Linked DNA regions of Astyanax mexicanus. The protein of the gene in region 1 interacts with the protein of each later gene in a pairwise test. Links are inferred from orthologs where the notes say so. Each region holds a gene or a part of one and is shown on either strand. Other genes may lie near its edges. The genes, in order: mapk7 and ube2c.

The links.
Region 2: the proteins of mapk7 (region 1) and ube2c interact in binary tests that used the Homo sapiens proteins (3 or more experiments, as listed by UniProt). The two-hybrid records come from large-scale screens. The link is inferred for Astyanax mexicanus from reciprocal best matches to the Homo sapiens genes MAPK7 and UBE2C.

The regions. Positions count from the first base shown.
Region 1 is NC_064422.1:10,147,225-10,151,153, forward strand, and holds the start of mapk7 (mitogen-activated protein kinase 7), read left to right. Parts: upstream 1-1,396; 5' UTR 1,397-1,858; intron 1,859-3,427; 5' UTR 3,428-3,439; coding exon 3,440-3,758; intron 3,759-3,929. Other genes in the region: vkorc1 (vitamin K epoxide reductase complex subunit 1), read right to left, coding at 50-240. UniProt on the Homo sapiens protein: Plays a role in various cellular processes such as proliferation, differentiation and cell survival. The upstream activator of MAPK7 is the MAPK kinase MAP2K5.
Region 2 is NC_064412.1:6,312,948-6,316,876, forward strand, and holds the start of ube2c (ubiquitin-conjugating enzyme E2 C), read right to left. Parts: upstream 3,023-3,929; 5' UTR 2,894-3,022; intron 1,974-2,893; 5' UTR 1,964-1,973; coding exon 1,863-1,963; intron 556-1,862; coding exon 528-555; intron 1-527. UniProt on the Homo sapiens protein: Accepts ubiquitin from the E1 complex and catalyzes its covalent attachment to other proteins. In vitro catalyzes 'Lys-11'- and 'Lys-48'-linked polyubiquitination.

The DNA.
Region 1 (3,929 bases):
ACACCTCACAGCAGATCAGAGGAAGGGCCCGTGTATGAACACACTGTACCTGGAGGTGAAGACCTTGGAGCAGCTCACAGACTCCGCCAGGTCACACATGGCTCTGTATTTGGGGTCGTGCTCCTTGGAAAGCTCGACGTGGAGCGCGTAGACCGAGAGAAGCAGCCCTAAAGAGCAGAGCAGGACCCGGGCAGCCCGCTCCCAGCCCGGCACCCCAGCAGGAGCTCCACCCGGCGCCATAGCGACTCTAAAACCCGCGGTAAAAACCTGTAATATCAGAGAAACAGCCTTTAGATCCAGCCCGGACCGCACTGACTCTACAGCACAGCTCTACCGAGTCAATAAAAAACTTCTGCAACGTGGAGGAACTGAGTGAAGCGCTCTGATTGGACCAGATCTCTGCTCTGCTCTGATTGGACAGTGGGGGCAGATGTGGACAGCTGTGTAAATCTACGCAGTTAATAAAGGACGTGTCCCAATAAAAGTGTCCAAATGGAGCATACTTTATATATCCACTCTATACACTCCCTTTATGGCACAAAAGAACATTGAATAAACGTTCATTGTTTGGTTGCATTACATAATTTAAAGGAGAAATCTGGTATGAAATGGACTTGTAGTAAAACATGGTTATGAGTGTAAACTTTAATCGAATAGCAAACATCTGTTTTCCCCCAGGGTTCAAAAATCCATCACTTTTAGCTCTCAACAGGGTTACAATGCTAGAAATAGGGGCATAGGATTGCCCATGCAAATGAATCACTTTTTACACTATTAAAGGGCTGACTCCATTCACAGCTCAAATGTGAAAAAAGCTAAAAAAAAAAATGGAAGGGGTAGTTTGGCAGGGGCACTGGGTGATGTATGGGTTTAGAGGCAGGGCAGGAGGGAGAGCTGATTGGTTGAGCTGTAGCAGCAGCAGTGTACCTCTGATAGCGAAAACCTACTTGTTACCATGTTTTACTTCTACACCCCAAGCCCATTTCACACCGTATTTCTCCTTTAAGTAATTAATTAATTAATTAAGTTATTAACTTGTGCCAAGGCACAGCAAAATTCGGCATCTTAGAAAAAGGTGCTACATTGAAGAATGTAAAACATATACCTTTTATGTTCGCTAAATATTTACATAGGTTTATATGTTTGTAGATTTATGGATGCATCTTCATAGCAAAGTATTAACTTACAATGTATATTTTTTTTAAATAATGAAAAACAAATGAAAAGAAAGTGTAAATGTGTGTCCCAACTTATGTCTAGCACTCTATATCTTTTTAGCAACATGACAGCGATCAAATATCGTCATATTGTCCACTCCTCCTTCTCCCACACACACACACACACACACACACACAAGCTGGGTGTGTGAACGGTCTATGGAGTAGACAGTAGGTAGGGGGAGGAGCCCCTATATCCACATGTAAACACAGTTAATCTTTATCTATTAATCGGTCCACTTTAAACCCTCACAACTCGCAGAGTTTAAGACTGAACTGGTCTCTACTGATTCTTGTGTTTTAACCGAGATTTCGCCGGTTGTATGATTTGTAATTTGAGGGTTTAGCGCTCCTGATATCGTTAGCTTAAGATCATTTCTGTCGACACCGCCCAAAAGAATGGCCCTATTCCACTGAGAAGATCCCGCCCCCCAGCCAGGCGGCAGACGCTATTGGCTGATTGGGGCAGGAGGACGAGTCTGATTGGCCAGTGGCGCTGCCACTCGAGCACAACTCGAAAGAATACGAGGAAGTGAAGCAGGTTTACCGTTGATTTACAACAAACAGCGGCGGGACAGAGAGACAGAAACATGTCTGGAGAGACGCGTTCAGGATTATTGAGGTCTCGGTGATTCCTCCAGGTAAAAGCAGTGTTCCTCAGCTCTTTAATACGGTTATTGTTTTAGTTCTGAAGGAAAAAGGGAGCAGACAGTAGGGTAGGTTAGGTTAGCTGCCTCGCTGAGTGGTAATACATTAGCTTCTCTCAGCTACATCATCTCCCTCCACACCAGCTCACAGCTTTATACTGTTTTATTTAATTTATATCAGATTTATACAGTTTATTTCTCTTTTATAGTGCAGACAGTGACCTGTGAGCCTTAAAACACTTGAATTTATAATCTGCAGTACAGTATTTTCCAGTGTAGCAGGCTACGAGCAACGTAAATCCAGTGATGCTTTATACTGGATTTTCATATTGTTCATTATTATTTATTTATTCATTTTATTTCAGCCTATATTCAACAGTTGTGTGTGGTTGTATCCACTCAAAACCTCTCATTTTATCCTCTTTTTCTTATTTAGAAATAAACATTCTGTGCCTTTAATTTTGGTATATGTAAAAGCAAGTCTCTTCTGTTTGGCTGCTGTCGGTACTGGGCATTCATTCAGAATATACTTCCATGGGAATTGGGGCTAAGTAAAATACTGTATCTACTGTATTTAAGTACTAAAATGCTGTATCTGTATCTACTGGGGTATTATTTTTGCTTCACTACTGTACTTAAATACTGTATCTGTATCTACTGGAGTATTATTTCTACTATACTACTGTACTTAAGTACTAAAATGCTGTATCTGTATCTACTGGAGTATTAATTTGACTTCACTACTGTACTTTAGTACTAAACATGCTGTATCTGTATCTACTGGAGTATTATTTTTACTACACTACTGTACTTAAGTACTAAAATACCGTATCTGTATCTACTGGAGTATTATTTTTACTTCACTACTGTACTTAAGTACTAAAATGTTGTAGTTGTATCTACTGGAGTATTATTTTTACTTCACTACTGTACTTAAGTACTAAAATACCGTATCTGTATCTACTGGAGTATTACTTTTTCTCCTACTTCCACTTTTATTTCACTACATATTTTTGGATGAGTTTAATTCTTTTACTCCAATACATTTTTTACATGCTGCATCATCACTATTCATTAAAATAAAATAAAAAATATTAGGAATCATTCCAAACCCACATTATCTGGGTTTGATAAAGCTGCTCATCAGATCTTATAAGAAGATCTCACTGCTCCCGTTCTGCCTTTCACTCTGAGAACTTTCCACTGCTTTCTGTAATAACTACTCTACTACACTAATAACACAGTACTGTACTTTTAGTTTCAATACTTGAGTATATTTTGGGATAAACAACATTTTTAGCAAATGAATAAATGTATGATAAAGGAATGCTCTAAATGCATACTGAGCAGACTTATTTAAAACTCCCTGCTTTCTTTTACTATGGTTTTATAGTTTAAGCTGGTTATTTATTGCCAGCTGCTTAACACCTACAAGAGCCATAAGCTGGTTGTTGTATAACGTCAGTCTGGCATCAAAGTGGGTATGATGCCAAAGTACCGGTACAACATTTTTGGTCCGTATTTTATAAACTGACCTTGTCTTTCTTCTCTCCTTCCTTGTAGTTACAATTAAAGATGTCGTCCAGCGAGGTGAAGAAAGCTGAAGAGGCGAACCGGGGTCCGGTGTGTGACTCTGTGGGCGCCGGCAGCAAGACTGGGTGCGACAGTGAAAGTGTCAAGAGCATCCAGGTTCCTGTGGGAGAACTTCATGCTCAGCCTCCCAGTGATGCGACCACGGGTTCAGACGCGAACACTGTGGCGGCAAAGAACTTGGCCTTTCTCAAGGCCCACTCCCTAGATGTGAAGTTTGAAGTTGGAGAAGAATATGACATCATTGAGACCATCGGCACTGGTGCATATGGTGTCGTTTCTTCTGCCAGGAGGCGAGACAATGGTAGGAACCATTTGAACTTTGGTCGTCAGCATCAGTGCTGATTTTAAAAATGAACGCCATTCTATTTGAATTAGACTAAGTTTAAAAAATATCAGCTCACAGCTTTGGAAAAAATGAAGAGATCACTTCAGTTTCTGAATCAGTTTCTCTGATTTTGCTATTTATAGGTTT
Region 2 (3,929 bases), on another chromosome or scaffold:
TAAAAATAATAAGAAATACAATACTTAAATACATTTTTTCAGTACTTAGTATTACAGGACAAAATGTATAGTGGCAGATTGAGTTAATTAAATAGAAATGTCATCCACAATGTGATGAATTTCTTTCAATTTAACAGGACTTCAAAACATGCTGTAGGTCTGTGTGCTTTTAAGCAATGAAGAAATACACCAGTTACACAGATGTGCATCACAGATTACTAGGGGTGGGCGATATGCTAATAAAAACCACCACAATATTTCATGGTACTTTTTCAATTACAATGTTCTTGGCTATTTGAAAAACACAGATTTTTTAAATGTATTTATCTTTTTTATTTGTGTCATTGTTTTTTTTTTGTGTGAAAGTGTGTGTGTGATACGATATGGCACACCCCTACTGATTACACCACCACATTTCTCACGTTATGCTACAATTTTATATTGCCCAGCCCTAATGTATACTCAAGCATTAAAGAGTAAAAATGTTACTATGAAAAAATGTAAAAATGTAAAAATGTAACACTCACCATTAAAGTCATCAGCTCATTTTGAAGTCTAGAAACATACAGAGACCAAAAACAGCAATCAGTAATGTGTAGGTATTTATTATGAAGTAAATCAAGATTATCAGTACATGGTGTTGGAAAAAATAATGAAAGACAAAAATAAATATATATTTCTTAAAGGTTTAAAAACTCAGTGCACAGCTTTACATGCAATTCAGGACAAGGATGTGGCAAGAAGGCAAATTGGAGGTATAAAGTGCAGTTTGCAAAATGTGCATCTGTGCGTATCCAACACGATACTGTGCACTGAACAGGATGTGGAGCTTAGCTATTGACCTATGCTACATATTTATATACATAAACAGGCCCCTTTTTTCTTTTTAAAACTCTATTCAGCATATAGTAATAGCATATTTCTGTGTAGTGTATACTAGTAGTATCAGAACTCAAAGCATCTAAAATTAAGGGACTAGAAGTTGAAGCTTTAAAATTTCAAAATGAACAAATAAGAATGGACACATACAATTAATAAAAATAAATCTTTACTGTTGCATTGCATACTATTACGCCCCCATGGACTTGTAATGCGATGAAAGTCATGATAATTATCTGTCAACTTCTACCATGACTATCAAGTTATGATACTAGTTTTAAAGAGAATTCAACTTTTTATGAAAATGTAAGAACCAGTTAGCAAAAATGTTGGAAACGTTTTAGGAGAAATCTTTTATTTTTTTTGTTTGCATACAGTTGGTTCAAAGCTAAACTGTAAGGCAAATAAACATTACATTTGTTTCTAAAGTTAGGCCAGCATGTGTAACCTCTACGCAAGTGATAGATGTTGAAAATGGCACTAAAATTTGTATTTTAACACAAAACTATAGAAATATTTTTTTAAGCATAGATGGGATTTGGAGTCTCACAACAATGCAAAACACGTAAGGGATTTTGAAGGATTTTAATAATTATACTTCATAGTTAAAGTTTATAGTTACAGAGTAGGGACAGGTAACAAATTATATATTTTTTCAGTTTTCCAAAAAAGATTACACAACTAACTGTTGTGATTAGGTTAATGTACAAGACACTATGATTTTTAATGAAATGTATTACTATGTGCACATTTATACATGTAATGTTAATTTCCTGGGTCCAGAAAAGACACAGATTCTGCAGAATATGCCATGTGCAGTTGACCTCAAGATGAATAGCTGTTATGGTGATAGCAGCTAATGAGGATTCAAATAAAACAATAAAACAAAACGTGCGTGTTCCTGTAAAACCAGTATCGGCCTAGAATTGCCATCAGTGCATCACCACTGGTTCTGGAAGTGAGGACGGAAAGTCACTGCGTACCTTTTTGAAACTGAGCCTTTGGGAACATTTCCGCCAGATTCATTTCCTTTCAGAGCAGCTGTGGAGGAGGCTGCCGCAGGATCCAGATTTTGGGAGGCCATTGCTTAAAACCTGAGAATCGACATGACTTGGTTATGGATTGAGTGTCATTCAGCAGTGTGTTCATAACATTAACAATATCCATTATAACAGATTATTACATATGTTACACCTCTTAAACTAGGTTAGCCAGCTACTAAGCACATCACAATGAAAAGAGAGAGAGAGATAACATTAACTTACATAGTGCAGATCTTTTACATGTTCGTTTTTATTATCTATTAAACATACATGGCTAATATTTTAACCTAACTAACCCACCCTACGTAAGAATATCATCATTTCTTTAGCTTCTCCCTTTTTTTAAACTCAAGTTGAATTAACGTTAACCTAATCTAGCTCAGGACAAGCCAGAGCCCTGGGTTAGATAGAGTTACCGTTAACAATACGTATTTAATCTAAAATCTAACCATTTTTAGCCTCAACCAAACGTTTAAAATGATTAGCTAAATCGTGACATTTCAGTTAAATAGCTTATTAGCCACACAAGCAAAGCAACGCCATTAAAACACTGCAGTGCGACCAAACCGTTGCTATGTTAGAAACCGCTAGCTTAGCACAGCTAAACGCAGCACACGTCCAAAACATAACGAAATAAATAGCGTTAACGTTACTAACATCCAACAAACTTGTTAACTAGGTTTACTATAGATACTTAAGTCTTAGGTTAACATGTTTAAAGCATGATATATTAATCTAACGCTAGCTAAAAGAGCAGTTGTAGTTAGTTAACGCTAGCTAAGCTAGGCTAGCTAAGTTAGCTTCCTAAAACACAGCAAATTTAAAGCCATCCCACACTCTATATCCAACCAAATCGCTCAAATTAATTGTTAAATCGATAACCTATCGATATACAAATCAAGCTTCATTATTATTTCACAATAAAAGCCACAAAATAGTAAAATTCAGTGCGTATTTAGGCTAGTTATTACCGGCTGCGTCCAGTCCCGTCTCTAACAGTCAGTAAAACTCCACAGTGAGATTTTTAAATCTTTATCCCGCCCCCCTGTTTAAACTGACTCTCACCCAACCGCTCCGGCGCTCCGCCCAGCCGCTCAGCCAATCAGGAGCCAGCGCTCAAAACAAAAGTCTGTCCTAGCAACCATTGAAAAACGCGCTTCACGATTTTCTTCGATTTGATTGGACGTCGCGCCGGCATGGGGCGTGGCTCGCGACCGTTGAATGCAGTACAGACAGAGCTAGTTTATATGGACAACCTACCCTCTTCCTATCTCCACAGCATTTATATATAAATAAAGGGGAAAAAAATATTTTACTAAATTGTAAATCTCTTGAATATAGTCAAGAGGAAGATGGATGATCACAAGCCATCAAACCAACCTGAACTGCTTGAACTTTTATTCAAAAGTAGTGTGTAAGACTGGTGGAGGAAACCAAGCCAAGATACATGAAAACTGTGAAATAAAAAGCAGGGTTATTCCACCAAATATTGATTTTTGAATTCTTAAAACTTTATTAATATAAACTTGTTTTCTTTGCATTATCTGAGGTCTGACAGTTCTGTGTCTTTTTTGTTATTTCACTATTGTTCACTATTATGTTCATTTTACTCAAATATATACCTATAAATAGCAAAATCAGAGAAACTGGTTCAGAAACTAAAGTGATGTCTTCATTTTGAGAAAAGTTAAGCACTTATTTCTTTTATTGTTATTGATTATGGCCTACAGCTAATGAAAACTCAAAAACCAGTATCTCAGAAAAGTAGACCAAATGGTTCTTTTGGCAGTGTGAACAGTGTGCCAAATCTTGCTGGAAAATGAAATCCACATCTCCGTAATAGTTGTCAGCAGAGGGAGACATGTCTCTCCAAACCATCACTGATTGGTGGAAACTTCACACTAGACCTCAAGCAGTTTGAACTGTGTGTCTCTCCACTCTTCCTCTAGACTTTGGACCCTTGATTTCCAAAAGAAAAGCCAAAATGATGGTCGGTGATGGTTTATA